Linked DNA regions of Lytechinus pictus. The main gene of each other region encodes a partner of the protein of the gene in region 2 in a complex. Links are inferred from orthologs where the notes say so. Each region holds a gene or a part of one and is shown on either strand. Other genes may lie near its edges. The genes, in order: dynein regulatory complex protein 8-like, dynein regulatory complex protein 10-like, dynein regulatory complex protein 9-like and F-box and leucine-rich repeat protein 13-like.

The links.
Region 1: dynein regulatory complex protein 10-like (region 2) and dynein regulatory complex protein 8-like share a complex: the UniProt entries of both Homo sapiens proteins name them as parts of the nexin-dynein regulatory complex. The link is inferred for Lytechinus pictus from reciprocal best matches to the Homo sapiens genes DRC10 and DRC8.
Region 3: dynein regulatory complex protein 10-like (region 2) and dynein regulatory complex protein 9-like share a complex: the UniProt entries of both Homo sapiens proteins name them as parts of the nexin-dynein regulatory complex. The link is inferred for Lytechinus pictus from reciprocal best matches to the Homo sapiens genes DRC10 and DRC9.
Region 4: dynein regulatory complex protein 10-like (region 2) and F-box and leucine-rich repeat protein 13-like share a complex: the UniProt entries of both Homo sapiens proteins name them as parts of the nexin-dynein regulatory complex. The link is inferred for Lytechinus pictus from reciprocal best matches to the Homo sapiens genes DRC10 and FBXL13.

The regions. Positions count from the first base shown.
Region 1 is NC_087251.1:23,720,476-23,728,365, reverse strand, and holds the start of dynein regulatory complex protein 8-like, read right to left. Parts: upstream 3,007-7,890; 5' UTR 2,927-3,006; coding exon 2,896-2,926; intron 1,637-2,895; coding exon 1,552-1,636; intron 670-1,551; coding exon 517-669; intron 32-516; coding exon 1-31. UniProt on the Homo sapiens protein: Component of the nexin-dynein regulatory complex (N-DRC), a key regulator of ciliary/flagellar motility which maintains the alignment and integrity of the distal axoneme and regulates microtubule sliding in motile axonemes.
Region 2 is NC_087246.1:4,178,332-4,185,924, reverse strand, and holds the start of dynein regulatory complex protein 10-like, read right to left. Parts: upstream 3,015-7,593; 5' UTR 2,682-3,014; coding exon of another isoform or gene 2,579-2,681; 5' UTR 2,061-2,578; coding exon 1,149-2,060; intron 468-1,148; coding exon 234-467; intron 1-233. Other genes in the region: two pore channel protein 1-like, read left to right, coding at 2,579-2,681, 7,266-7,576. UniProt on the Homo sapiens protein: Component of the nexin-dynein regulatory complex (N-DRC), a key regulator of ciliary/flagellar motility which maintains the alignment and integrity of the distal axoneme and regulates microtubule sliding in motile axonemes.
Region 3 is NC_087260.1:6,704,299-6,711,858, forward strand, and holds the start of dynein regulatory complex protein 9-like, read right to left. Parts: upstream 3,018-7,560; 5' UTR 2,902-3,017; intron 1-2,901. Other genes in the region: large ribosomal subunit protein eL33-like, read left to right, coding at 5,640-5,656, 6,165-6,317, 7,373-7,520. UniProt on the Homo sapiens protein: Component of the nexin-dynein regulatory complex (N-DRC), a key regulator of ciliary/flagellar motility which maintains the alignment and integrity of the distal axoneme and regulates microtubule sliding in motile axonemes.
Region 4 is NC_087249.1:13,414,526-13,422,203, reverse strand, and holds the start of F-box and leucine-rich repeat protein 13-like, read right to left. Parts: upstream 3,014-7,678; 5' UTR 2,912-3,013; coding exon 2,763-2,911; intron 2,365-2,762; coding exon 2,255-2,364; intron 1,190-2,254; coding exon 1,036-1,189; intron 215-1,035; coding exon 85-214; intron 1-84. Other genes in the region: uncharacterized protein K02A2.6-like, read left to right, coding at 5,677-7,678. UniProt on the Homo sapiens protein: Substrate-recognition component of the SCF (SKP1-CUL1-F-box protein)-type E3 ubiquitin ligase complex.

The DNA.
Region 1 (7,890 bases), on a different chromosome or scaffold from region 2:
GACAAGCTGATCCTCAGGGGATGGCTTGAATCTTCAAAGAAACATTTTCAAAAAATAAAAATAAGACGAAATATGAAAATGAAACACTGCCCAACACATGATGACATCCCCTGTCATTCCCATCTGTTATCTTTCTCTCTAATACTTGAACTTTTTAAACACTATAGAAGGAGCATCATCAAAACAATTTATAACGTTTATCTTTTACATTGATTCTTTTTGCTAGAAAACATTGTCATACAAAAATTTCCATCAAAAGATATAGCAGTTAGGGGTAAAAATGATAAATGTATTCAGATTATAGCAAGATACACCTGACCTGATGATCTTGATGATGACATTAATACAATTGTTTAGATAGTGACAATAAGTAAGAAAGAGGAGGAGAATGTCAGTCAGTTAACAATTTACATTCTGATTTAATGATGAGTAAAGTTAGGATATAAAGAGCACTGATGCACCTGCAACCCAGATTGTCATCCATCTCATCTATACTTCCACTCTCATTTAACTTACTTGCGTTCCATGAGAACTTCTCGCATGATTGGCTTGTAACGATCATACTTGATGTATCCTGTGGGCTCCTCCTCTTCCATCTCAGACAAAAGATCATGGAGTTCACCTTCACTAGGACAGCAACCTAATGACCTGATAATGGTCCCAATCTCCCTGTAACACATGAAGAAAAAAAAAAACAATCACATTAACAACATCACATGCAGTAATTAAGATAATCGCAAGTGTAAATATGACAACTACAGCAACTTGGAAAGTTGAATGTGAATTTATATGGTTTCTCAATTAAAATTAATATCATTATTAGCATACATGATTAATTGTAGGATGAGTATCCTGTTCTACATCTTAGTTTCTAATAAAAAACTGTTTTCACTTATGGTTGCACAACTTTATTATATATCCTACGCTTTCAGCCAATACTTCTGTCTATTACTGTTCAACCTAACTCAATAATAGTAAAAATAAGAGGAAGGTATCATTACTCCTGTCTGCAGGCATAGACCCTGAATAAATCTTGAATAAAAAAGAGGGTCTTGGGACAAGTCTAGCACTGCAAATACATCTTGGAAAAAAAAATAAGGGGGAAAAATCTAAAAGAATATAAAAGAAGCTATTAGAAATCATTTCTGACTGGTTGCCATTATAAAGCCAAGCAAAGAAGTTCTAAGTTCTGAATTCGGGCCTTTGATACGTAAGTCCAGTCAGGACTGTAAGGCTTCCAATTCAGACCACTCTTTCCAAGCTTATTGGTTTGTACAACTAACTACCCTACCTTAAAAAAGATTCCCAAAAGCCAAACAAAATTTTCAGGAAACATCAAATCAAGGTCCACCTGAGCATACATGTATCAATGAGAAATATGGTACTTTGAAAAAAGGTTTTTTTACTTTAGTGAAAGAATTTAGTCCAAAAAGATTGCCCAACATAAAGAGAAAATATATGAAACTAAAACAGGAAACTATACCACCCACAAGCTACAAACATTACCCAATTATCATATTCGATTCAATCAATATTTAATCATTTACTCACCTAACATCAACAGTCTTATTAGACTCATGGTCGAAGATATCAAATGCATCTGTAATTTTCTTCTGAATATCCGCAAGCAGTGATTCTGTGTTAAAGTTATTAAAAATATTACTTAGCGAAAATCTACCTGTAACTTTATTTAAATGTACAAGTTTGCTCAATCCCAATAAATGACAGTATATAGGGGTATCCCCATCTTGATTCATTCAACAAATCAACAATTTGAAATCCTATTTGATCAACTTCTTCAAATATTAAACTTTAGGAGCACCAGTCATCACATTTTTCTCTCATTGCTCTATTTTGGGGCACTATACCCCAAGTTACCGTGCACAAACTGATAACAGTGATATGGGAAAAAAATATTTTTGTGGATTTTGCTATTTTTAAGGAAAATTTATTTTTATTTATAGGTGTCCGATCAAATAAACATATGGATCGGAATTTGGTTCTTTCATATAAAACTTTTTTTAAAGATCTAAGTATATAATGATATGGAATGAAATTCCAGGCTATCATATACCCGTCATATAAGTCATACATTTGTATACAGTATAGACAGCTGGCAGCTGTCTGCTTCGAGGAGTTTAAAACATTTTTTAAAATTTCTCCTCATACACAGACGGCTCGCGATCGTGCAGCTGCCATTAGGGGGTTAAAAATGCAAAATCCCCCCCGATGGTGCTCATCGATTTTTGTCTTTATTTCATAAAATATGAAAAGAACTGGACCAAAATAAAGATTATTATTCTGTTTGGCCTTAAATGCACCAAAACGGGGAAAATAAATTTAAAAGGACACAAAACAGTGACTTACTTCGGCTGTCGCGCAACTTCACTTTCCTGGACCTGGTATATCCGAATTTAATACATAAACATATGATATAGCCTATGCCAAATATGGCCATTGATTGAGTCCCTGTACAGATCGAGTTAGAACTTCGGTCTCTGTAATTGGTGAGTGGAGCCAACGGAGTTCAGCGGAACAACCAACATAACAGAGACCGAAGCTTTTGGTCTACCCTTGGCCTTGCTTGGTGCGGTGGCTAGCCATGGGCTGCCAGCTGCCGCAGTAAAGTGGTAAGAAGCCTAGCGGACAGCCAGCCGCGGCTGGGTATAGGGGTACGGGCTAGTTGGCGGTACGGTACGTGAGAGCGGCTCGCTCCTGAGCTGAGCCATGCCAGTTTCCAAACACGACGAGAAATCAATTGCAAGTTTTTAAATTTACTTCATTACAGATATACGTGGGTAACGACATTTTTCTTTCTACCAATTCCCAAAATAATTTTCAAAGTTCATTATGTTAGAAATATAGATGACCAAGCTAAAAGTAAACGATATTTACCAGCACTTTCTTTTTCTTCTGCCTGTGCCATTTTGAGCTAGCCGATCGAGAGATTGTTTACATATACATCATATGCATGTGTTGCTACCGTACCGGCAAACTAGTCTGCATGCACAGACTCTGATTAAATCTTTGATCAACCAGTGAGTTTTCACACAAGACTAGCAAATAAAAGTGTTGTTTTGGGGTTTTTTTTGTCCTGTTTTGTTTTTGTTTTTGAAATTTGTTTTCTCAGTGCGTAGTTGCGTACCTCCCTTTCTGCTTTGCTATGTAAGTAAAAAATATAAAAGTAAAGAAGAAAAAATATAAGGAAAGATAAAATGTTTATAACATAGGCGGATCCAGGGGGTGGGGGGGGGGCTCGCATCAATGTTCAGTTACATAGCTATCTTGTTCACCATTAAAAAAATCGATTAAAATTTTCCATTCTTTACCTTTTCAATATCAGTTCAAAACATATATAAACATTTTATGCTCGCGCTTTGCGCTCAAATTATTAAAGGGATGGTCCGTGCTGAAAATATTTATATGTTAATACATAGAGTAGAATCATAGAGATGTAGTATATATCTCTATGAGTAGAATTCACTTCGTATGGTCCAACAGCCATAGATCGGAATAATTTGGAATGAAAATATAACAGAATAATGATCAATTTTCTTAAAGGGATGGTCCGGGCTGAAAATATTTATATCTTAATACAGAGAGTAGAATTCTCTGAGCAAAATGCCGAAAATTTCATCAAAGTCGGATAACAAATAATTAAGTTATTGAATTTTAAAGTTTAGCAATTTTGTGAAAACAGTCGTCATGAATATTCATTAGCTGGGCTGATGATGTCACATCTCCACTTTCCGTTTTCTTATGTTATATACATAAAATAATATTTTTTCATTATTTCATACTTGTGTGAATAATATATCTCCCTTATAATGAAATAAGTTGTAGCAATAAATATCTAATGCACTAAATCAGTTGTCAATCCAATTTTTCTAGTTCTTGGAGGAAAAAAAATTGAATAAACCTAATTTCATATAATAAAATACAAAAGAACAAGTGGGGATTTGACATCATCAGCCCACATAATGAATATTCATGACGATTGTTTTCACAAAATATTGCTTAACTTTAAAATTTAATAACTTTGTTTTTTTTTATCCGATTTTGATGAAATTTTCGGCATTTTGCTCAGTGACTTATATTTTATTAATTAAGGTATAAATACTTTCAGCCCGGACCATCCCTTTAAGGTAAGATCCCCAATTATATACTCATCCTTTTCATGATTTACAAAACATGAATAGAGTGTCTCGTTTTTAGGTCTAATCTCGAAATTTTCCGTTCGCGCTTCGCGCTTGCATCAATAATCTTCACTGTTTAAATTACAAAAAGTGCTTAGAATTTCCGTTCTTTAGGTATAGCTCACGCTTCGCGCTCGCATTATTTTGATTGTTAATGAACTGGAATACAAATACCCTCTGTCCTCTTTTTTCTGACTCATTAATATGCAAATGCCGTCCGCCGGGGACAATAGATAGTAAATGCATTTGCATATTAATGAGTCAGAAAATAAATAATTAAAAAATATTAATGAGTCAGAAGAAGAGGATAGAGGGTATTTTAATTCCAGTTCATCGTTACTTAGCCGTGAACCAGAATAGCCTGGTGGTTGAGTCGCTGCCCGGCAAGCAGTAGATGACAGGTTCGAATCCCATGCACTGGTTCCAATTTTTTCTGACTTATGATTTTCATTACAGATCGAGCATGCGATCTTGAACACATGGGAGCTAAAATGCCGAAAATTTGTTTACAAATTATTATTACCTCCGATTAAAGCTTCTTTATTCACTATTGCCCAGAATGTTCAAATTTTGTCACAAAATACATAAAATGAAATAAAAATTAGCTCGCGCTCGCATTGCAGTGCGTATCAAAAAAAAGTTTACACTTTGAAAAAGCCCTGGGAATTAAAAAAATATACAACATGTGGGTATTTTTTTCACAAATATTCTTGGGTTTGGGTCTCATCTATCCAATGAAAGTAAACATTTTGACAGAATGTTACACTTGAGTGAACACTGTCCATTTGTGTAAAGCTCGCAGAAATCTGTTTGCGCAGACATGCTCATTTTCACGCTGTGTCAAGGGGAAAGGGCGAAATCAAACTTAACCTGCGAAATATTTCTCATACATTTCCCTTGCACTTTTAGTAATTGAAATAAAAGGGATACATTTAAGCATTTTGTAACAATTTTGCCACCCAAATTGAAATTTCAACACTTAGTAAGCACAACCTTTACCCTTTTTGTGCCAGCTGGATCTGAGGAAATAACTGAATCTGAACAAAAGTTTATATCAGACATCTCCAGCATTTTTTCACTAAGTTTTTATCATTTAAAGTGGGTTTACATTTCATTTTTCATTTAATACTTGTTTCTCCACACTTTTTGCAAGCTTTACAATGATTAACAAAATGAAATTCAAGCCTACGCCATTTCAAGTAAATCACAGCTCAGTGTAAAGCAAATATCGTCACGATGGCCTTAAGGGTGTGTGGGGGATTAGGTTGGGGCGCAATGCACTCTTCAAAGTGTTTTGGGCAAGGAAACAAGTTAAAAAAGGTAAAAGATATCTTCAAATCAATTTTACTAGCTAAATTTAATGTGTTATTCATGATTAAGGTCTACTTTTATTCGCATAACTAATTTTAAAGTTCTGCGCAAATCATTTTTCACTAACTTTTCAAAAGTAAGTGGTGCTCACTCAAGCGGAAATATTTTTCGACAGTTCGTAATTTGCTTAAATGGATCTGTACCAATGTTAAAATGTGGAAAAATCTTCAGGATATTACAAATGTATAATTTTACAGGATTTTTTCTAAGTGTAAACTTTTTTTTATACGCACTGTATAAATAAGGATTATGATATTATTTTTTTTATGTTGATTTATAAGAATAAAGCTAAGAAGTGACTATTAGGACTACCACTTCAAATAAACAAAAAATCATCTTCGAGCGGCCGATCGGGGAAAATATGGCTGAGAAAATGTCCGCCCCCCTCCCTATTGGCAAAGGCTGGATCCGTCCCTGCAAGACATGCACAAACCCCCAATCAAGTGTATACATGCAGCTATTATACACAGCTGTTGTGTATTATGATAATTGGTTTAATTTGTATCTCGGTTGGCACCTAAATTATGACTGTCAACTACCAAATCAATGTTCGTTTCACTTTTTCCTTAATCGAAAAAAAAACTTTACCCCAAATCATATGAAAAAAAAAACAAAAAATGAACAAATCAGAACAGGTGTGTACGCCGTTCAGGGCCCTGTGAAAGATTTTTTAATACTGGGTTGTTGTTTGTTGGAAATTAATGGCGACCAGTCACTGGGGTACAATTGCTGGAGTTTTGTCGTCAGAAAGAATTCCGACAAGCCACCCCCCCCAACAAAAAAGGGGGGGGTTATTGTTTACAAATCTCCCTCATTATTTTGGGGAGTAATAACCATTTATTATTATTATTAATATTTGTTTTGCCTATTTGTCAACCCGGTCTGGGAGGTGCTGTATACACTGTAAAAACGCTGTTTAAAATTTTAAGCAAGTTGTTTAAGCCTGTCACTCTAACAACTACCGTTTAAACTTTTTAAACAGCTGTTGAAACTTTTTAAACAAGTTGTTTAAAGAGTAAATTACAGAAAAGTTTATACAACCTGTTGTTAGAGTGACAGGCTTAAACAACGTGCTATTTTTTTTTACTGTGTATGGTATATGCATGCAGCATCCCTCCCCGTCCGATCCCCGCTACCATCCAGCAGTGGCGGTTTATTGCCATATACTGCCAAATGGTCTAATGTCATTTCGTCTACCATCAGTTGGTCCACTATCCATTACCATTTCGTCCATTTACCATTTAGTCCAATAGCCAGTTGGTCTAATAACCATTTCGTCTATTATCGATTGGTCTAATAGCCATTTGGTCTATTGCATTTTTGCCAATTGGCCCAATAGCCACTTTGTCCATTTTTATTACGTCTATTACCATTTAGTCCAATAATAATAATAATAATACTAATATGTCCATTTATATAGCGCAGTTACTATGTGCATATACTCAACTGCGCTTTGATACTTGGTATAATATTATGATAACTAAGCCGCCATATTAATAGGCGATAAAGCGTTCAAGGAATAAATCCTGCCGGGTACCCATTCACCTCACCTGGGTCGAGTGCAGCACAATGTGGATGAATTTCTTGCCGAAGGAAATTACGCCATGGCTGGGATTCGAACCCACGACCCTCTGTTTCAAAGTCCGAAGACTAATCCACTTTTATAGGCCACAACGCTCCACGATAGCCAACTGGTCTAAAGGCAAATGGTCTAATCCACTTAGTCTACTTTTATTTCATCTATTCCCAGTGGCGTAACTACGGGGGGGCATGGGGAGCACGTGCCCCCCCCCCCCCAATCGGCTGGCCAAAAAAAAAAAAACGGGGAAAAGGAGAAAAAGAGGGAGAAAGGGAAAGAAACGTAGTGGGAAAGAAGAAATTATTGTTAATTATAATGGTATATTATATTATGATTATCTTATGTTATATTACATAAATAAATTATAACTTTATGAAACATAATTTGCACAGGGCCTAGTCTTCATTTTTCCTGGTGCTCGCATTGCCTGTTTAACAATATATATAATCTTCTTGTACTAAAACCTCCCGTTTTCAAGTCAATATACACCAAATATATTTTCTTAGACTTCGAATTATTATTGTTTTATGTAGTGACATATACTTTTTTTTTCATGACTACTTAAAGTGATTGCCCGATTTTAAGGTCTTAATATAAACCATTTCCTGTCCGTACTTACGTTCGCATTCGTGGATTGGTGAGATATGTCTGTTCTTCATGAATTTTCTAAAATCAGTCCTTAAAATGTCCCTTTTTCTGATCTGAATGTAAAAAATTTCAGCTTGCGCTTCGCGCTCGCATCAT
Region 2 (7,593 bases):
TTAATGGTATAATACATATTCTGTTTGAAAAAGACTAATATAACATGTAGAATTTTTTTAAGAAAGAGAAATTTTTGAGTACCAAATGTCTTCAACAAAATACATTTTATTCTTGGATGAAATAAATAGAAAAAAAAGGAAAATATCAGATGGGCTACATGTATTTTGAATTAACTGATTTTTCCCACTGCTTTATATCCCAAAATCTACAAATAGATGAAAATCGTCCTCACTTTTCTCAAAGCTAACTCGCTCTCTCTGTGCTCTGATGTCTGATTGGTCAGCTGGGTACGTAGACCCTGAAGATCAGAGTGTAACTTGGTCTGTTTGACTTCAGAGTTCTTGAAGTCTGCCTGTTGCTGTTTGTCAGCTTCTGATTTAGTTCTCCTGATGTGCTCCTCAGAGAATTTCTCTAACTGGTGGAGGTCGCCCTTTAGTCGACGAATTTCATCATTTTGTTTGGAGATCTGTAGAACGTAAAAAAAAAAAAAAAAAAAAAAGTAGAACAATAAAGAATATTTAATCTAGTGATTTTCCTTTTTTGACAATAAAATTGAAAATTATGATTTGTTTTGTATGGGCAATATACTGCCAGTGTTTAGCTCTGCATGCCACACACACACACAAAAAAAAAACAATAGACAAGGACAAGGCAATTACTTTTTTTGAAAGCATTGATCATGTTTCAAGTCAGCAGTCAAAAAAATATCTAATGTTGTGTGAAAGGTATCCAAATCTCAAAATAATTTGACCAATTTAAGACAGTTTCTGCAATTATTTTTAAAGAAAAAAGTGATGATAATATATAAACAAAGTGAAAAAGAAAAGGAATAATTAGCAGTCTAGTAGCAGACCAAAAGCTTCAGTCATGGTTTCGTCTGCTGTTCCACTAGACTACATGCACTGTACCGGGATCTTGCTTTTATTACACCTCCTCCATTGGAGAATCCAAAAAGACCCTCCCCCAAAAAACAAAGTTTTAAAAGCCCTTCAGACAGGCATAATTCAATACTAGTAGGCTAGATCTACTCAATAGCAAATAATGGAAGAGGGAAGGGGGCTAGAAAGAGAAAGAATAGGATACAAGTAGGTAGAGGGAATGTCAATTAGAGAAAGAAGAAAAGAAGTTTCGAATCTCCCCTTTATACCTTCATGTCTTTATCTTCAATTGCCTCCTGTAGCTCAGCAGAAAGTTTCTTGATGACATCAGAATTCTTATGCTCCCTGATTGTGATCTCCCTGAGATAATCTGTTTTCTCTTTCTCTTCCAAGGGCGTGGTAAGCAGTCTTTCCAGAATAAATGATCTCAGATCCTTCATGTATCCAATCATAGAACTAGACTCTGGGCCTCGCTCTTTGATCTCAGACCTCAGGGCATTGACTGCTGCTGGGTTCAAGCTCAGCAACCGCAGGATATTTCTACATGAAAACTTCAACTGCTGCGCTTGAACATTCACCATTTTTGAAAGCTGCACTTCTTCCTCATCAATAAGTGAAATTGAGTCAACTTTGTCTAATCTATCGGATGGAGTTTGCCTCCTGCTCTCAATCATCTGAACTTCATCATAATTATCTTCATCATCATTGGTGGGTTGTATCTCAGACTCAGCTGCGCGTGCTGCTGGGGTAGATTTTCGAGACTCGACTTTGTCCATATTTTTGTAATCGCTAAGTTTTTTTGCAGCATCTTTAAATGCACTCTGGATCTTTTCATGCTCCTGTATAGTAACAACTGTCTCGATACCAAGAACAACGCTGAAACGATTGACATTTTCACAAGCGTAAGGTAGCAAGCTTACAACCTCAGCATTCTTGATGCTCTCGTCCAATACTGCCAAAATTCTTTGTGATTCAACTGTTGTAAGTTTCTTCCTTCCAGGGTCTAGGATACGTAGAGGATCGGTTCTTTGGTTCTTTGATTCCTTTGGCTTATTCGGTTTGTGTGGTTTGACCTGTGGAAAATCTATGTTAGGTCTTTCTGGACGTTCTTTTGGACCCTCAGCTCGAACCTTGTCGAGCAGACGAAACGTCTCCATCACAGCCATGTCGGCGAAAGACATCTTGCAGCTCGTTACGTATTTCCACCTCTCGGATAAAAACTACACAGATTGAATTTTAGGTAAGGTAATTAATTTGAACTCTCAAAAGTTTATGCAGAATTCCACATTTGTTTCCACAAACACTTGTTCTTTCCTCCTGAACCTCCAGCACTCTCGATCTCATAGACAACACACGTAAATAGAGTAACCGCACCACAAATCTTGTTTGTAAATATTCCTCCGCGAAGGGAAAATGAAGCCTCACATAATTGCCGTGTAAATCTGTTCCGATTTTGAGTATTTTCAAATCTGCGAAAATTCGATGACTTTACATTACAAATGGTAATGAAAAATAGTAAAGCTTAACAAAATGGTAAGTTTTTAACATGAAATATTATCCATCCGCTTGCTCGTATTTGTGTAATACGGTTTCGTTGCTTGGTGACTTCCGAGAAAAGGTCGAAAGGGGTCAACTGGTGTAGCGAAATCTCGCCAAATCTCACCTCGAAAAGCGAGAATAACAGCTGACGGATGTAAACATGGCGGAATTGGAGGACGACCTAAATCGTGTCTCAGTAGAACTTGAGAGTCCTTTATTGGCTGAACAACAGCCAAGTCAGAGCTTTAGAACAGTTAGGAGTGGTGAGAAATACTTCCTGTAGATACATGTAGTATTTGAAGTCAATGTGACAGTCGTGATATAGGTTTAATTGCGTTTTAATTGACTCAAATTCAACTCTTCGGCGTCTGCTTGTGTTAATGCACTGCACTGCATTGACAATCCCCTTGTCACTGACACTGTCTGTCTGTAGCTGCGACTCGGCCCTGCGCGCGTTAGCCGTTACGAATTACCCAGGGGCCGATTGCACGAAAGGGTCTTTCCAAGGACCGTCTTTCGTGTCGCCCATCTTTTATGATGCGCTATAAGCGGGGTGTTTCTGAAATTTATGATAAACAAATAAAATTCGTAAGCTTGCTTTTAAATCAAATTTTATACAATTTCATGAAATATCACATCATTTTATAAACAAATATTTTGTTTATTTTAACGGAAAAATAAAATATATTTGCAGATAATTTATTTGAAATGCGTTTCACATGGCGTATCATAAAAGATGGGCGACACGAAAGACGGTCCTTGGAAAGACCCTTTCGTGCAATCGGCCCCTGTGTTTGTTAGAGTTAGACAGCAAAACAATTTGTCTGGAGAAATTTTAAAACGTTTTTTTTTTCATTTTGGATATGGAATAGCCAGTGAAACATGAAGAATAGAGTTTAGACTCTAGTCCAGTGTATTGTAAAACCGGTAAGCAGCTAGCAGAGACTGAGTTGAGCTGAGTGAGAGAAGTTTTTTAGTCTTTTTTGTACTGCCTACTCTCTGGAAAATTGCCGCTGCGCACCAGTATTTATGCACCTATCAATTGTATGACGCACCCCCCGACCCCCGGGAAGGGTGCGTCACTTGTCAAACGTGAGTCAGATTTTATGGTACGTGGTGTGGTGCGTGACGCACATGTGTGTCTTAACAATGACGCACCTTTACTTACAATGACCCTGCCAAGAAAGAAAAAAGTGACGCACCAGTTCAAGATTTTGACCAACCATGACCGTCTCCCTGACGCACCTTCGTCAGAGTAAAAAGTCAGATTCAGACTAGACTCTGAAGTGTGATGTCTCGTGCGTGCAAGTGCTGCGTGGGCACAATCGAGCTAAATGCAATGGAACGCGATACATGTATTTCGCTATAGTCTCTGACAATGTTTTCTCTTCAATACAACCTCGTGGTGATAGCAGAGGCCGAGGCGAACTCAAAGGGAACGCTTTCCTTTCCGACGATGTCGGGAATATGCGCCATTTACATTTCTTCTCGGAAATCAAGGCCAGGGTTCATGCGAAAAAGTTCATAATATAGATTTTAACTCGTTAGCACCTCAAAGCAATTTTAAAACATATCCCAATCATTCGTTCATTAATCTGAGATGTTTGTGACTTCTATTCTGTTTTATTTTCCTTTCCGACGTTGTTGGAATAATTCGTCAATTATATTTCTTCTGGGAGAACGGGAGTTCATAACGAAAGATATATAAAATAAATCTTACACTGTCAAAAACGAAGTGCTAATTTAGCACTTAAAGTGCTTGTATAGTGACTGCACTACGAGTGCTGATTTTCTAGTTTAAATTTGAACGAGAAAATCAGCACTCATGCTCATAGTGCAGTCACTATACAAGCACTGTAAGTGCTAAATTAGCACTTCGTTTTTGACAGTGTAACTCGTTACACGTTCAAAACAATTTAAAAACATTTCCTGATAGATCGCCAACTAATCTGAGATGTTACCAACTTCAATTCTGTTTTATTTTCCTCTCCGAGGTTGTTGGAATAATTCGTCAATTATATTTCTTCTGGGAGAACGGGAGTTCATAACGAAACTTATATAAAATGTCTTAACTTGTTAGCCGTTCAAAACAATTTTAAAACAAGTCCTGATCAATTGCCAACTAATCTAAGATATTTCCAACTTCTATTTTGTTTTATTTAAGTTTCCAACATTTTCGAGAAAATGCGTCTAATATTTTTCTTAACAGAGAAAAAGCGGTCATAAAGAAAGGTATATGAAATATGTTTTAACTCTTTAATTCCTCAAAACAATTTTAAAACATGTCCTTAGAGCGCCAACTAATCTAAAATGTTACCAACTTCAATTCTGTTTTATTTTCCTTTCCGAGGTTGTTGGAATAATTCGTCAATTATATTTCTTCTGGGAGAACGGGAGTTCATAACGAAAGATATATAAAATATAATTTAACTCGTTAGCCATTCAAAACAATTTTAAAACATGTCCTGATAGATTGCCAACTAATCTAAGATGTTTCCAACTTCTGTTTTGTTTTATTTACATTTCCAACATTGAAGAGAAAATGCGTCTTTAATATTTCTTAATGGAGAGAAAGTGGTCGTAATGAAAGGTATATATATGAAATATATTTTAACTCGTTAGCACCTCAAAATAATTAAAAAACATGTCCCGATAGATCGCCAACTAATCTGAGATGTTACCAACTTCAATTCTGTTTTATTTTCCTTTCCGACGTTGTCGGAATAATTTGTCAATTATATTTCTTCTGGGAGAACGGGAGTTCATAATGAAAGATATATAAAATATATATTAATTTAATAATTTTTGTATCACTGAGGCATCATGACGCACCCAGGTAACATGACTGACATTAACGCACCCCAATCCTCAAACTGTGACGGACCAAATGTTTCTATGACAGTACCCTGCTTCACTAATTTGTTGGTAAATGACCCTACCATGACACACCATTCCCGGGGGTCGGGGGTGCATCTTACAATTGATAGGTGCATTAGTATTAGTATACTAACCTCGCAATACATGTGAGTGGCTGCGCACTAGCCTTGAGGCTACAAAATGCCATTTTGAAGAACAATTTATAGATAAAAATGATTATTTAACAAATAATAAAATTTAATACGTGAGTATAGATAATCATAATAATTATTTATAAATAAGTTTCAAATTTCATTATTTGTTAAATAATAATTTTTATCTATAAATTGTTCTTCAAACGGCATTTTGTAACATCGCTTGTCGAAGGTACGTCATAATGAAGTGGTTCAAGGGTCAAGCCTATTGTATTTGCATTTTTTACAAATGGATTGAGGGATCTACACGAGATCGGTCTGGTTAGCCAGGAGGCTTCTAGAGAGTAAAAATCATTTACTAACGTATGCTTACTCTCCACGAAGCCAGGGATTCTATTGCATTCATCTACACAGCGGTGATTTGAAGCCAGTTCGCAGTACCAAATTTGTATTAATTCATCGCCGAATCCAAAATGGCGAACGCGAATTGCGCATGGGTCATGCGCTTTACAAGAAAGGGCAAGGAGTGGGTCCCGGGGGGGGGGGGGGGGGGCACTCAAATTATTTTTTGATGGGGGTGTGCCTCATGAAATCATTTAGGGTCAACAAACTTTGGTAATGTTGGGGGTATTTGTGGAATTGTCTATGGATTTAGTTCATGAAACCTGGACATAAGAGCAGCAGTGTATCCCTGAATACCCTGTGTGTGTTTCAGGAACATGGCCAAGGTCCAAGGTCATAAAGGTCAATGAACTCTGGCCGTGTTGGGAGTATGTGTTGAAATGGCATCATAACTTACGAGTTTATGGTACTTGCTCATGAAACATCGACATAAGGGTAATCAAGTATGAATGATAGTTTTGCACAATCCTTAGGACACATGATCATGGTCAAAGGTCATTTTTGGTCAATGGACATAATATCTTTTTTTCAAAGGAAGCACTGCTGCTATTTCGAATTACGTAATGCAGGCGAGACTGCCAGAGGCGTTCCACTTGTTTATATTTTTTTTATTCTAGCTGATTCTGCTTGATTCTTGCTGATCCAAAATAAGTTTAACAGGGCCTTGACAAAAGAAATTGAACAAGGGCTTATGGAGATTATCGGGAAAATATGAAAATGAAAGACAAAGAAAAAAACTCATACAAACATAAGAGGGGATCTCTCATAATACAGACCACTAATTAATTTCCTACTGTTATAATATGAATATTCCTTTATTGCTTCTGTTTAAATTACTTTTTTTTCTTATATTGAGTACAGTATGTAAAGTGTACCTCTCAATGCTGTGGTGCCCTTCTGAAATTGCCAAGGCACACTTAAAAAATAATTGAATTCCATGACTGTTTCCATGTGCCATGAAAAACGTACTTTACCCTCACAATAAAGGGCTCAGTGCAAGGGCTGGTTGCATCAATAATGTGCACATTCAGAAATTGTAATATTGAGGGCAATACAACGATTTCTACAAAAGAAATAGATGAAAAGCAAAATAAATACATCAGAAAATTGAGAAAATGATGGGAAAATACAAGAAAGGATGGGTAAAAAATGAAAAAGAAGTAAGAGCTATTAAGTAGAATGATGGAAATAGATAGGATGATGTGAAAACAGGGATACACAAGAAAAATAAGAAGAAAGGAACACATTAAGAAAGGGGAGATGATATAATGATAATCTATTGAAATTGTAATAAAGATATTTCAAGAATAACTGAAAAACAAAGATTTATTTTCACTATCACTATCCACTGTAAGTATTTTATTTCTGAATGTTCAAGAATCAATTATTGTAATTTCAAATGGACATGTGCACTATTTCCCGTTATATTTCCAGACTATCTGAACAATGACTCTGTTGCTACCAGCCCAGGTTTTGTCTCCAGACAGACCTCTTCACTCTCTGTGCCTGCCATTGGAACCTCCCAAGACTGGGAGCTCAACTACAGAGAGGCAGCCATTTATCTTCAGGAGGGGGAGAATAATGACCGATTTGACACCCATCCAAGGAACCAAGATGCACTCCCAGCCTATGTCATGGTCCATAACTTTTACTTTTACATCATGGACTTAGCAGCAGCCATGTTGGTGCTACTTCTTGCGTTGGTTGAAGAGCCAGCTGTTGATGCACTACAGCTCCAGCCGATTGTAAGTGTATATATATA
Region 3 (7,560 bases), on a different chromosome or scaffold from region 2:
CTTTATTTTGTCTACCTTTTTACTAAATAAATCAATAGGCCCTATCCCTCTTCAGTATCCATTGCTTTATTTTGACGATTCCTAATTTACTAAATAAATCAGAATTGCATCTACTTATTTTCAATCTCTATTGCTTTATTCCGTAAACTATACTTTTCATATAAATAAATCAGGATTATATTCATCTTTTATGTTTCTCACAATATAAAATTTGCTTTATTTTGTCTACGTTTTTACTAAATAAATCAATAGGCCCTATCCCTCTTCAGTCTCTATTGCTTTAGTTCGTTGATTCCTAATTTACTAAATAAATCAGGACTGCATCTACTTCTTTTCAATCTGCTTTATTTCGTAAACTAGCACTTTTCATATAAATAAATCAGGATTATATTCATCTTTTTATGTTTCTCACAATATAAAATTTGCTTTATTTCGTCGATTCCTAATTTACTAAATCAATCAGAATTGCATCTTCTTCTTTTCAATCTCTATTGCTTTATTTCGTAAACTAGCACTTTTCATATAAATAAATCAGGATTATATTAATCTTTTTATGTTTCTCATAATATAAAATTTGCTTTATTTCATCGATTCCTAATTTACTAAATAAATCAGAATTGCATCTACTTCTTTTCGATCTCTATTGCTTAATTTCGTAAACTAGCACTTTTCATATAAACAAATCAGGATTATATTATTTTTCTCACAATATAAAATTTGCTTTATTTCGTCTACGTTTTTACTAAATAAATCAATAGGCCCTATCCCTCTTCAGTCTCCATTGCTTTATTTCGTTGATTCCTAATTTACTAAATAAATCAGGATTGCATCTACTTCTTTTTCAGTCCTTATAGCTTTATTTTGTTGTACTTTTTATGCTAAATAAATCTCTTTTCATATATATGTTTCTTATGATTATGCTTTATTTCGTCTATCACGTTTTTACTAAAAAATATAAATCAAATTGCATCTCCCTCTTAACAGTCTCCATTGCTTTATTCCTCGTGCTCCGAGTTCCCTCCCGGTGTTTAATAGAGTACTGTCCAATTTCTCATAGGAGGGGACTTGGATAACGAGGAGTACTTTTACTCGTCATCCAAGTCCCCTCTCCTAAAAATACAAAACGGCAATTAACCCGTTGATATTCATCTACCCCTCATTTCCCTCCTCTTCAAAACCACTCTGCCACTTTTAGACAGTTTCCTAGAGATGATAAATGAATATTTTTGATAAGAATCATTAAAATTAATGAAAATCACATCAAAAACTCTATTTAACTGTCTAATTACTCCTCGTGATCCGAGTTCCCTCCCCGTGTTGAAGTACTGTCCAATTTCTCATAGGAGGGGACTTGGATAACGAGGAGTACTTTTACTCATCATCCAAGTCCCCTCTCCTTAAAATACAAAACGGCAATTAACCCGTTGATATTCATCTACCCCTCATTTCCCTCCTCTTCAAAACCACTCTGCCACTTTTAGACAGTTTCCTAGAGATGATAAATGAATATTTTTTATAAGAATCATTAAAATTAATGAAAATCACATTAAAAACTCTATTTAACTGTCTAATTACTCCTCGTGATCCGAGTCCCCTTCCCGTGTTAAGACTGTCCAATTTCTCATACAGGAGGGGACTTGGATAACGAGGAGTACTATTACTCGTGATCCAAGTACCGTCTCCTAAAAATAAAAAAAACGGCAATTAACCTGTTGATATTCATCTACCCCTCATTTCCCTCCTCTTCAAAACCACTCTTCGACAGTTTCCTAGAGATGATAAGATGATGAGTTCTGGTCTGAGTGGCATTATGTTCACGCATGGGAATAGTGCCTTTTTCATTTCAATACATTGGCACAGCACATTGCACAAATAGCACAGACTCAGTTTTCGAACTTATCCAAGCTAGGAAGACAACAAGTCACTTGACTGCAGGAACAACTCTATTTTTCCAGTAGATGCGGTATAAAGGTATAAATGAATATTTTCGATAAGAATCATTAAAATCAATGAAAATCACATTAAAAACGCTATTTAACTGTCTTATTACTCCTCGTGATCCGAGTCCCCTTCCCGTGTTGAGACTGCCAATTTCCCATAGGAGGGGACTCGGATAACGAGTAATATGCTATCACTCATTATCCGAGTCCCCTCCTATGAGAATTTTGTAGTCTCAACATGGGAAGGGGACTCGGATCACGAGGAGTAATTAGACAGTTAAATAGTGTTTTTAGTGTGATTAATTTTGTTTTATTTAGTGTTTTTTATCATTGTTTCAACTTGGAAGAATATATACAGCCATAGCATAGGACTAGGTCTAGGAGAGAAAAGAAAGACTATTTTTGTCGTTTGAAAGTGTCAGGGTCAGTTGTTATTGTGTCAATGGGAAAACGTGTGGTGGAAGTCCCTGTTCAGTGAGAAGCTTCGCACCGTTTCGCATCGCGAATAGATTTCTTTTGAAATTGAAAATCTTCCAACCGTGGATTCCATTTATTTATTTGAAAGATTGCTGATATTTGAGATGTTTCTCAAGTTTGTCCCCAGTGACTTGGATGACGATAAGGCCTGTAAATTTATCTTTATTATTTCTTCCCTTTTAATACCCCGTCAAAGAGCAAAATTGGGCGCGCCAGCGCAGCGCCTGATCCCTGAGCCCTGGCCCGAGGCTGAGCTACTCAGGCTCAGCTAGCTCCACATGACATGCACAGCCGCGCAAGCGGGCCCAGCCCGGCCCGCGGAGCTCCAGCACGACAACGTCAACGGTCCGAGGCGCACGGGCAAAACTGTCGACTTGTCTTTCGGCTAAACTCAGTAGATCTTTATTTAAGTCCATTATTCAAAGACACATTCTCGCAGAAGTCATAGGAAAGAACATATTCTAAGTTATTAGAGAAAACCTACCTGTTATCCCTTACGCCAACACCATGAAATTGGGGAGATTTCCCAGGAAGTAGGCCTTTCTACCTGCTTGTTTACGTTGTTTCCAAGCTCTTCCAAACGAAGGCTCGATCAGTATTAGTATGTAAAAAAATAACAAGAGTCCATATGAATATCAATCTTGTTAGTAAATTACTTTTATTAATATAACATAAAATTTAAATAAATATTTTAGTTATTTTCATATCAAAATCATTTATATCAATAATATCTGAATTCAGATAATTTTACTATAGATTTGGCCTTTTTCTCCTCTGTTTCTCATACGAGTGGTAATGCACATTTTTACATGAAAATTCACACCTTCATACCCCCTAATATATTATTATACGTTCAAAGAATGAACTTTACTAGTTAGCTTTTTTATTTTACTTAAATGTCATATGTTCTACCATTTATGATTGCGCATTGAGAAGTAGATTTTGACCGATTGTGTGGAGAATACCCCCATGTCCCATCAACTCCTGTATGCGTTAGTACATGGACCATGGTCGACGTCATACGGGATTCTGTGAAGTGTGATGACGTTCATTCATTGCGTTTCCAAGAATCCCAAGTCGAACATCCAAGTTGGCAAATTCGACGGGGGGGGGGGGGGGGTGTCAGGAGGCATGGCATTTTGGCTCTAATAGTATTGTTTCTCACCAGCCGACTTTGTCGATAAAATTTCCTCACCACGCACCAGAAAATAAATGCAGAATTCAGAAATTGTAAGCAAAAAGTGCCGCAACAGTGCAGTAGCCACTGCAGTGACGGCCAACGGTGCATGGGCCTGGCAAGTCTCTCTGACTTTCTTTCGTCTCTGTCTGTCTCACTCAGTCACAGTCACATTTCAAGGTCAATAAGTTATGACAAAGACAATAATAAATAATAAAATATGCCCACTGCTTTTCAATATTGAAATCCGGAAAGGCTGTAACTAAGTGTAAGCTAGCCTAGCCTGTTATTGTGTAATTTGCCTTTACTTTAGTTTTTGTCTTCGAACTCGATGCGATGTCATTGTTCAAATTCTCAGTCAGATATGGTCATCGTTTATAAATATAGGCCCAAATGTGCTCCCAGCCATGCCAGCGTTCTTGCAAGGATTATTCTTACGCGTGTCGGAAACGTGCCGATTCGGTGGTGGCCAATTTTGCACGTGATGTTTTGATTTTCACATGCGCTTTAAATGATCCAAAGTCAAGTTTCATTGCCAATTCAATGTAGGCCTAATGTTTTAATCGGCGGCGCACACCAATACCTAAAATTGATATTGGCAAAAATATTGAAATGTTAAGTTGTTAATCTAAAAAATTTGGGGTCTTTTTGTCTGGAAAAATTAAAATATATTTGATATACCTCTCGTTGTGGACTCCCGTTCTCCAAGAAGAAATGTAAATCACCCATTAAAAACAAATAAAACAAAATACTAGTCACAAACATCTCAGATTAATGTACGATCTATCAGGACATGTTTTAACATTGTTTTGAGGTGTTGATGAGTTGAAATGTATGTGATATACCTTTCGTTGTGGACTCCCGTTCTCCGAGAAGAAATATAACTCGCGCAATATTCTGACAACGGCGGAAAAGAAAATAGAAGTCACAAACATCTCAGATTTCTTTGTTTTGATTTTCAGCTTATTTGGCCTTCCTCTGTACAAAAAGTATGGGAGCTCTTTCTATTTCAGACTTTTTCAACACTCTTCAGCTTTTTTCAGATCTTTTTATTTGTGACCACTCACACCCCTGAAAATCAGATGTAAAATAAGAAAGTTATGACATTTTTAAGTTTTGCTTTATTTCATATAACAGTTATATGCACATCCTGATCGGTATGCAAATGAGGAGACTGATGACGTCATCCACTCACTATTTCTTTTGTATTTTATTGCATGAAATATGAAATGTTCTAATTTTCTCCTGATTTTCAAGTGAAACAACGATTTATTCCCCCTGAACATGTGGATTAAGCATTGTTCAATACTATATGGTTCAGTCAAGTCGGTCCTTGTTTTTAAAATCTGTAAAAAATGAAACAACATATTATTCAAACAATAAAAAACAAAAGAAATAATGAGGGACATCATCGACTGTCTCATTTACATGTCACCGAGTTGTGCATATCAATGTTTTGTGAAAAATAAGCGAAACTTTAAAATGCCATAACTTTTTTATTTTACATCTGATTTTCATGAAATTTCACTGTTATGCTGGTTTGATTTTTTTCTATTTATTCAAATCAACATTTTTCTGGGGTGGACTTGACCTTTAAGCAAATTTCCCCACAATTTGCCCACCGCTTAATAAACGTCATCGTTTAAATTCTCAGACCGAACTAGAGGTGCTGGTCAGAAAATTGGGATCGTCCCAGTTTTCAGGGACTGTCTGGGTTTTCAAAGATTTCTCCACACAAGAAATTTATTTGTGTTCATTCACCTGTCAAGTGCTGACGCCAATTAAGTGCGCTAGTCAATGTAAACATATCCAGTTTCATTGGAAGATGGCAGACGGTGAACCAAGGGGAATTGAGGTCACTGAATCTAGTTTTGAGCACTCTCAATTAGAGCTCTGCATGTACATTGCACCATTGTATCGGCACAAGTTTGAATCTTACTCTTCAGAATACTGAGGCACACATGCGACAGATATGAAATAATGGCTCAATTAAATGTGTATTTTTGTTCCTTTTACATACAGAGTTATTGGCTGGAGTTGGCAAGATGGTAGCATCCAAAAGGTCAGTGTCAGTTTCCAAATTTCTGATGAGTTCCTTTCAAATTGTGAAGGCAGCAAGAACCTGTTTCCCTATCATTTTGTTTTATTTTAGTGAGCCCTTAGACATGCTCTCTTATGGAATATTGTGTACTCTATCTAAATGGGGTTAGTTAAAATGCAAGTATTTTCAACAGGCAACAGTGATAAGAGGGTAGATTGGGCTAGTCGTAATAATTGAGATGCGCAGAGTACGGTAATCATACTAAAGCTCGCATAAGGCAACTTTCAACAAGTCAAATGATTAAAATCAATTGCCCAAGTTAAAGCTGTATTCTACTGCGTATTTCAGAAGATACCTATGGTCCCAAGGCAGACATTTGTACATCACATTTTGGTATTTAAATTTTCTCTCTGTGTGACTTTACTTGTACTGTGCACAATTGTTGCTAACCAATCGCAGCTACCTTGAATTTAACTTGGAGCATAATTGATTGTTAAGTCTTGTGTGACTTGGTCTATGTGCAACACAGGTTATACAGCAGGGCAGTTTTCACGGGTTACAGGAGAGGACTCCGCAACCAGCATGAAAACCAAGCTCTTCTCAAGCTAGAGGGAGTAGAATCCAGAAGGGAAGCCACCTGGTATCTTGGCAAGAAGTGTGCCTACGTCTACAAGTGCAAGAAGTAAGTTCAATAGGATACTTCCAGAGATGCCATCTGGGGATTTTTTTTTTAATGAAAAATTGCAAGTTCCATGGAAATACCTTTTCCACAAAGTTGAATTGTATTATTCACAATGTCCTCGTACTGAAAATTAAAAATAATGTTTTTCTACCCTCAAACTATTGCAATTCATTTGACAAGGTTGGCATCTCAGTACTCAAGATGCAAGTGCTACAGAGCTGGTGTCATTGTCAGGAGCAGAATTTTCTTGTGACAGAGAGCAGTTGCAGGATTATAAGATATATTTGAAAAAATAGAAATGATTTTTGTCAGCCATGAATTGGGGAAATATTACCCAGTGAAAATTGCTTTTCTCAGTGCAGTAGTTGAATGGGGGAAAGTAGGCGTATTACAAAACTTGCTTGACTTTAGGTTTTATACAAGAATATTCCATGCAAAGTCTCATGATTTAATGCTCAATCTTTCAAAGTATGTGCAATGTAAAATGAATCAAGCAGTTAATATCGAAAGTCAATCATTAGCAGACCAAGCCTGGAGCATGTTTTAATGTAATCTGTGCCAGTATGTCTGGGAGAAGTAAGGAAGGGATATTGGTATAGACTGTTGAACCAGAAGTTACTCTGAACTGTATGAGCATGATACAGGGTGTTCGTTTGTGTATAAAAACCATGAGATGGAATAATTTTGCTTTACAAATTCGAGTAGCATTTTTGGTCATAAGAGAAAAGCTCTCAACTAAGTAATGTACAGTCCTTGTAAAAATATGCTATACAAAAGACTTTATGCATGGCAGTCTTTAAAAAATGTGGAGCGAATTGCGATGCGATACCAGGAAAATTATTCCCCTGTGAGACCTGGTAGAGTCCAGGTTTTAGAGAAACTATTGAAAACCCTTTTTAAAAAGTAAGACGATCCTAAGCTTGGTTGAATTTTTCTTGTTCGCCTTTTTTTTTTATCACATTCCATGACAAATCACAATGTGCGAGTCAATTAACTGTTTGTAAATTCTGTAAGACTCAATTTGTGACTACACTCTCCCTTTGATTTCTTCGCAGCAAGACGAAGTGTCCCGGCAAGGACAAGCCAACCAACACCCGTGTGATCTGGGGTAAGATCATCAAGACACACGGTAAGAGTGGCGGCTGCAGGGCCAAGTTCAAGAGCAACCTTCCCGGCCAGGCTATCGGCAAGAGGATTAGGGTGGTAAGTAGCTAGGAGATTTGTTTAAAAAGGGGGCAAGTCC
Region 4 (7,678 bases), on a different chromosome or scaffold from region 2:
TCCCCCCCCTCCCGGCTGTAATGTGGGTCAAAATAACCCAGCTCTAATAGGTTTTAGACCCAAGACCCAAAATATATAACATACCTGAGGACACCCTGACATATCAAGATAGACTAATCTCCTTCCTCCTTTGCCAGTCCCAAGATATTGAAGCCCTTTGTCACTGTAACGTTTGCAATATGCAAGGCTCAAGTACTGTAGGTTGCTGCAGCACCTATATAAACAAGTCATTGTAAAAACGTAATTATAGTAATTATAATTGCTATTAAATATCGTGCTTAACACTTACTTTATCAGAAGCCTCTAAGCACTCTACAGTTAAAATGCAGCATAACCCAGGCTTTAGCAGAGCAGCTGTTATGTGCACTGCATCCAAAGGAAAAAACTCCTGCCAGGTGCCCATTTACCTCACCTGGGTTGAGTGCAGCACATTGTGGATCAATTTCTTGCTGAAGGTAATTACGCCATGGCTGGGAACTGAACACTCTACCCTCTGTTTCAAAGTCCGGAGAATAATCCACTGTGCCACAACGTTCCACATATAATTGTCAAACCTGATACATACTACGCATTTTTCAGAGTTAGATAAATAATGCAGTTGACTGAATGCTTTAAAATCTTTTGATGAATGAAACAATTTTAGTCCTGCAACCAAATCTACTTTTGGGGCCCAACCACGTTTTGACATTCATAGTCTTGTGTGTTTCAAAGGATTATGATTGCTTACACATATTTTTTAAATAATATTATGCAATACGAGATATGGCTGCCTTTGCCTTTTAAAATGTATAATTTAGAAGCATTCATGTCCTTTGGTTAAGGCTTTTTATTTACATTTTCAACTCTCCACCCAGGTGTAGAAAATCAGTACCTGGGAGGAAGGAATTCCTTGAATGCTCAAAAGGGGGCAAACATTGCATTAAAGCGAGTAGTCTTGCAAATATCAAGACAGAAATAAATCAAGGCATGAATTATACACATATACATGTAGATGTATTTACCTATTTACCTATGACAAATAAAGAACACATTTACCTGGCTAATAATCTCAGTGTAGCATCTGTGATGTTGGTGAAGGAGACATTGAGATAAAGTAAGACAGAACAACCTTCGGCTACATACTTCATAGTATCATCATTCAGTCCTGGACATTCTGATAAGTTTAAATCCTGCAAGTTACGACATTGACCTGCAAAAAGAGAATACATACTTGATATCAATAGGAAATGGGGAAGGGCATTGCAAAATGTATTCCAGAGTCTTCAAGCTTCTCAGGACACAAACATATACATTTTTTATTAATAAATAAAATTGTAGTATAGTAGTGTAAACAGAAAAAGAAACATCATACAAATTATACAGTGTACAACAAAAACAAATATTTTTGTTGAATAGTTACAGAATGATAGTGAGTTATTATACAATTAGTTATAAATTATACAACTCATACAAAGATTTTTGTTATTTGATTATTTTTTAAGTTGCGCTTTGTATCCTCTAGTGGTTTTGACTCTTTATGTTTCAATCTGAGGGATGTGGGTTCGATTACAAGCCATGTCATGTTTCCTTCAGCAAGAAATTTACCCACAATGTGCTGCACTCAACCCAAATGAGGTGAATGGGTACCCATTAGGAAGAGCTTCCTCAAATGCTTGAGTGCCTAGACAGCCCAGCTAAGGCCGGGGCAATAATAATAGCAGGGCCCGCTGGGAGAACAGTTTTCAGAATTGTAGTGGCTACCCAGGGTAACCATGCTGTTAGTGGTAAGAATCCAGCTATTAATATACAAATAGCGAATAGGCATGAGTGCAATGGTGCGAAATTTCACATGAGGTGAAAGAAAGATCCTCTATTCAACGAGGCATTAGCCTGAGTTGAATAGAGCGTCTCTTTCTTTCACCGAATGCGAAATCTCGCACCATTGCACGAATACGAATATTCGCTATTTGTGTTGTTTAAAGCCTCAGAATGAAAAGGGAGCAAAATTATTAAAAAGCGAAAAGCAAAATCCCACAAGCGCACGTGACCTTGGGCAGCATTGCGCATTTAGCCAGCAGGCTATACGTGTATTGCACCTTAATTTTTACTGAGCGCAATGAATTAAATCGTATTGTGACGTCAACTCCTAAAGCCGTGCAACGGTACATTTTGGATGGTACGTCATGTGTGCAACTGTAAGAATGTTTGACATTCAGCCTCCCATTTGCTCGCGTACAACAAGCTAAGTAGGCGTTGTACGATAGTAAATGCTTACCAATGGCTTTGAAGCTTGGTTTGGTGAGCATTTTGCATCCTTTGATGTTGAGATGAACAACATAGGGCCTGTAATGCTGAAGGAGACTTGTCACTACATTGTCAGTCACACTGCCAAGGGAGAACATTGAATTTAAATAGAAACAAAATCTTTAAAGAAGACAGGAAAACAGAATCCCAACATTTGGCAAATAATATATGTTTACACACCATTGAGCTTCTATAGCTCGGCTCCAGCCTGGCAAAAGAGTCCATCTGCAAATTCGCCCCCGTAAAAAACTTTTTGAGAAAATCAGTTTTTAAGTTTGAGCATTTAATCTACTTACAGAACAATTGAGAGTTAATTTTAGCTGTTGGACTCTATTCTATCACTTAGTTTACCTTTGGAAGATTATCATTATTATTATTATTATTATACCCTTGCTCACCAGAATTGTGTAAAGGCTTTGAAGCTGTGATAAACAAACAATAAACAAAAAACAAAGAAACAAACAAACAAACACACTTACATGTTCTTTGTCTTTGACAGGTCAACCTGTGAGGAAAAAATTAAAAGAGGGAAAGTAATGAACTTACAAAATAAATTTAAGGTGACAGGTGCCCTAATTTTTTTTTTTTTTAATGATTTTATTTTTTTGGTCTCCTTTGCTAGTTTCATGTGTGTACTTCATCATGCAACTTGTTTTATCTCAATATTCTACCTCTTTTTTTAATAAGAGGGGGGTTAAAACATATTTTCATAAAATTCTCAAACCGGAAGTAGTATTTTACACACCGGAAGTGATTAAATCTGTCCCCAAAACCTTTGATACTGCCTTAAAAAAAATCAGAAAATCCCCAGATTTTTTTTGGCTGAAGCCCCAGATATTCCATGTAGCAAAGTGGACTACCACCCTCTGTTGGCCAAATAGGGAGAGCTACTGTATTGCACAATATGGCAGCGACTACAAGTTACATACACTATGTGACAGACTTGGCGCGTTACAAATGTCCGTTATTATTAGTATTATAGCCCTTTCTTTATCGTGATATTATACAAAATTGAGGTTTTTTTAATGAAAAATGTAATAACTCGAGTTCTAATCATTGGATTTGCATGAAATTTTGTAGAATTGTGTATCTTGAAGAGTACAACAAAATAATGATAGTTTTTGTGCATGGTACCCCCACAGGTGGAGTTGTGTATAAAAGTCCTTTCTGAATTTCTCATTATCTGACTGCTTGTTTAATCCATAATTTTTACAATTCTACTCTGAATATTTCTTAAAGCCATCATAAATTCATCACAAAGAAGTCAGAGAATTAAATTAATCCATCAAAACTTAAATTACACTCTATGTTGTGAAGTTATAACCATAGAAAGTTCATATAGAGAAAAATCATGATTTTTAAAGTCATGACTTTGAATGACCATATTTTGCTTATGCATAAAGCTAATATGCCACAGTGCAAATTTTTGTGTAGATCAGCTCATAAGCTTTCCAAAAATATATAGTTTGTTGGGGTACAGGTACTTAGTAAGAATCCTATGCTTGATTATATACCCGTAGTCGTTTCCGCACGGTAATAGGGCACCTGGCACCTTAACTTTAACAAAGGCACCAAACTTTGAATACTACTTATACTCTGGCATTTCCCTTTTGTACAGTACTTGTAGTAACTTAGGATCTCTTTGTTGACTTCATTTACATCAATATTTGTAGTTAAAAAAAACATATAGGAAGCTGTTCTTCTGAGTATGTTACAAATTGGCAACGAGGATGCTCAGAAAAGAGTCTACGAAAGCCTTAAAGTCTTCATTTTGCTGGTCAAGGGACTGCTAATCTGTGAGACGAAAGTTTGATCCTAATTTTGAGGTCATAAAGTGACATTTTCTGGTTAAAGTTGAATTAAGAAGGGGGTGAGTTTCCATAAATATAGGTTCTACATACAATATATAGTATATATAAGTTGTTCAAACAGATAGCATGTCACAAAAATCCTCTGCCTTCTCGATATTTTGCTTTGAAAGTCTATGAAATTAGCCACCTGTCAGAGCCCGAGAGACGAGTGTACAGAAAAGTCACTCGGAGTGTGACGTCACCGGGGGGAATTTAGTATAAGAGGTGCCTGAATGTCATACAGAAATGCTATGCAGAGAGAGAAAGATATTTTACAAATTTTTTTCAAAGCAACTCAAATCAAACAAATATGACTGATATGTACAAATCTTTACTTTCCCTGTATAAAAAACAGTATGAATAACCACCATGAACTCTTCAATCATGATGTAAGATAGCAAACAGTGAGTTATTGAATGATATTTTCATTATTTCTCATTTATTTTATCACGATGTTCAATCAAGTGAGTAGCTGGAAAGTAATTCCGGCGGCGAGCTCAGCGCGCGCTGAACGCATAATACTAGTACACACAACACCCAGCTAGGCATTGAGTGTACTGTTATGGTCTGGTATGTCGACTTAGTTCATGGCCGTGCAGCGATCCCCTGGCGTTTTTTCTTCTTTTCTTTTGTCTTTAATTGACTCCACTTTTATATCCTCTGGATCATTTCCACTCATAGCTCATTCCACAGAACAATCTTGAACCAAACGTATAGTATTCTTTCTCGGCCTTCTGGGTTGTTTTCTATATTTAATTACGCTAGGGGTCACCGTCACACATACAAACGCAATTCGCAAGTGAGTTGAAGACAGAAAGATATATATAGTAATTAGTATACATCTCTATGGTTGAAGACAACAAGAACGGTGCGGTCGCTCGACAGCTAGCTGCGCCGGAGCGGGCGGCCGGTCGGCACAAAGCAATTCCGCAACCAACTGTGTTTTTTTTTTCAAGAGCCGCGTCACACGCGGATAAATATGTCATAATAACACGTCTGCTACGTTATCGACTGGTGAGAAGATCTCGATCAAATTTCATATTATTCACCTTGAAATTATTCCTTTAGGGTCTATGGTATCATTCTGAGGGAATTCACATATTTGGAATAATAGTACGGCCACAAATATTTTAATCATTTCCTCTTTGCAAGTTCTATGGCTCGCAGATACAACTTCAACTGCAGTTATTCCATATGAAGGAGTACGTGCATAGTACACAAAACGGCACTGCTTTACCCCCCGGTGACGTCACACTCAAAGAACACCCGTCTCGGTAGGCATTGCAGGAGCGAACTCAGGGAAAATGGGTAGGGATAAATCGTTCAAATTCACTATTTTGAAAAAAGAAAATGGGGGGTCGAATCACCTATTAGTGTTTGGGGGGTTGTAAGGTTGCTATTAATGTAAATATCTCAATATTTGGAATCGTCTTCTTAATTCAACTTTAAAGTTACCGTCGTACAGTTGATGGAACTAGGAAGGAAGTCTTCGTGTATTCGCACATGGTATTCGCACGTGTATTCAGTCAATGCGTGATACAACATGGCGACGCCCAGTGGCTATATCGGACGGCTAGGGAGCTTTGAGAAGGCTCGCGAACCTTTTACTTCATATGTCGAACGTATGGAACTGTTTTTCATGGCCAATAACATCGTTGAAACTTCCCAGAATGCTGAATTCGTGAAGGAACGGAAAAAGGCAATTTTACTAACTGAAATTGGAACAGAAATCTACGTAACCCTCGCAAATTTGTTAGCGCCTAGCAAGCCGAAAGATGCAACATTTGACGACATCATCGATAAGTTGAAGAATCATTTCGATCCTAAGCCGTTAGAGATAGCTGAAAGTTACAAGTTTGGAACAAGAAATCAGAAACAAGGTGAAACAGTTGGTGAGTTCATCATTGCCTTAAAGAATTTATCCTTACATTGTAATTATGGATCTTTCTTGAATAGAGCTTTGCGAGACAGATTTGTTTGCGGGTTGGCTGATGAACAAATTCAGAACAAACTGTTGAATACTCAAGATTTAGATTTTGATAAAGCCTGCCAAATTGCGTTGTCGATGGAGATGGCATCAATAAATGCTCGTGAACTTCGTTCTGTTCATAATGCTGGAAGTGTGAATAGTCAGAAAAGTTACACCCGTAAAGCTAAACCAACTAGTCGTGGAGGTAAACCCAAACCCTCTAATGCTGAAAGTAAAAAGCATGGAAACTGTTATCGCTGTAATTCCAGAAATCATCCACCTCAAGAATGTCCAATTAAAGGTTCACAATGTTTCAAGTGCGAGATGAAGGGACATATAGCTAAAGCTTGTAAGTCAAATAGAGGAAAGACTAGTGTACCGAGTAAAGGTAAATCGCGTCGAACTGGCGGTAATGCTGAAGTTCATGCGTTGGATGAAACTGATGATCTAGAGAAATCTATGCAACATAATTCGAATTTGTATTGTGTGTATGCTACAGATTCGATCAATAAGTTTGAAACAGAAGTTGTAATCAACAAGAAATCCTTGACTATGAGGATTGACACCCAGGCAGATTGTTCTATTATGAGTAAGGACACATATGAGAGAAACTTCAGTGATGTACCTTTGAGACCAAATTCATTAGAACTCAGAACATATTCTGGTCAGCAGTTGGACTTGTGTGGTGAATTTGAATGTGAAGTCACCTATGAAGGGAATAAATTGTTGTTGCCCATGATGGTAACAAGCTACACGAATCGTCCTACACTGATGGGTAAGAACTGGCTGACTAAGTTGAAGTTAGATTGGAATAACGTGTTCCATGTTGAGTCTTCAAAATTGCAGAGTCTACTCCGACAGTATAGCGGAATGTTTGAAGACAGCTATGAAGGGATTTCTGGTGTGGAAGCGCATGTAAGAATCAAGGAGAATTCAACTCCAGTCTACTGTAGACCGCGACCAGTACCGTACGCACTGAAAGAAGAAGTTGAGAAAGAGTTAAGAAACCTTGAGAAAAACAAAGTCATCGTAAAGACAGACTACAGCGACTGGGCAACTCCGATCGTAGTGGTGCCGAAAGCCGATGGAGGTGTTCGTCTTTGCGGAGATTATAAGACCACAGTCAATCGAGCAGTTGATGATGAGTGTTATCCTCTTCCCACATCGCAGGATTTGTATGCAGAGTTGGGAGGTACCAAAGTTTTCTCGAAGTTGGATCTTTCTCACGCGTATGCACAACTCAACTTGGATCAGCAAAGTCAGCAGTATCTTACTATCAACACGCATATGGGATTGTATTCCTACACAAAACTACCATATGGAATTAAGTCCTCACCGAAGATCTTCCAAGCGACAATGGATAAGATTCTTCAAGGTATCCCCCATTGCTTGTGTAATCAAGATGATGTATTGATAGCTACAACCACAGTGGATGAAAATCTTGATGTGCTCGCGCAAGTATTGAAGCGTTTGAATGATCATAATGTGAAGCTAAAAAGGAGCAAATGTGCCTTTGTGGAAGGTGAAGTGGTGTACCTAGGGTTGAAAGTAAGCTCACAGGGGCTTCAACCAGTCA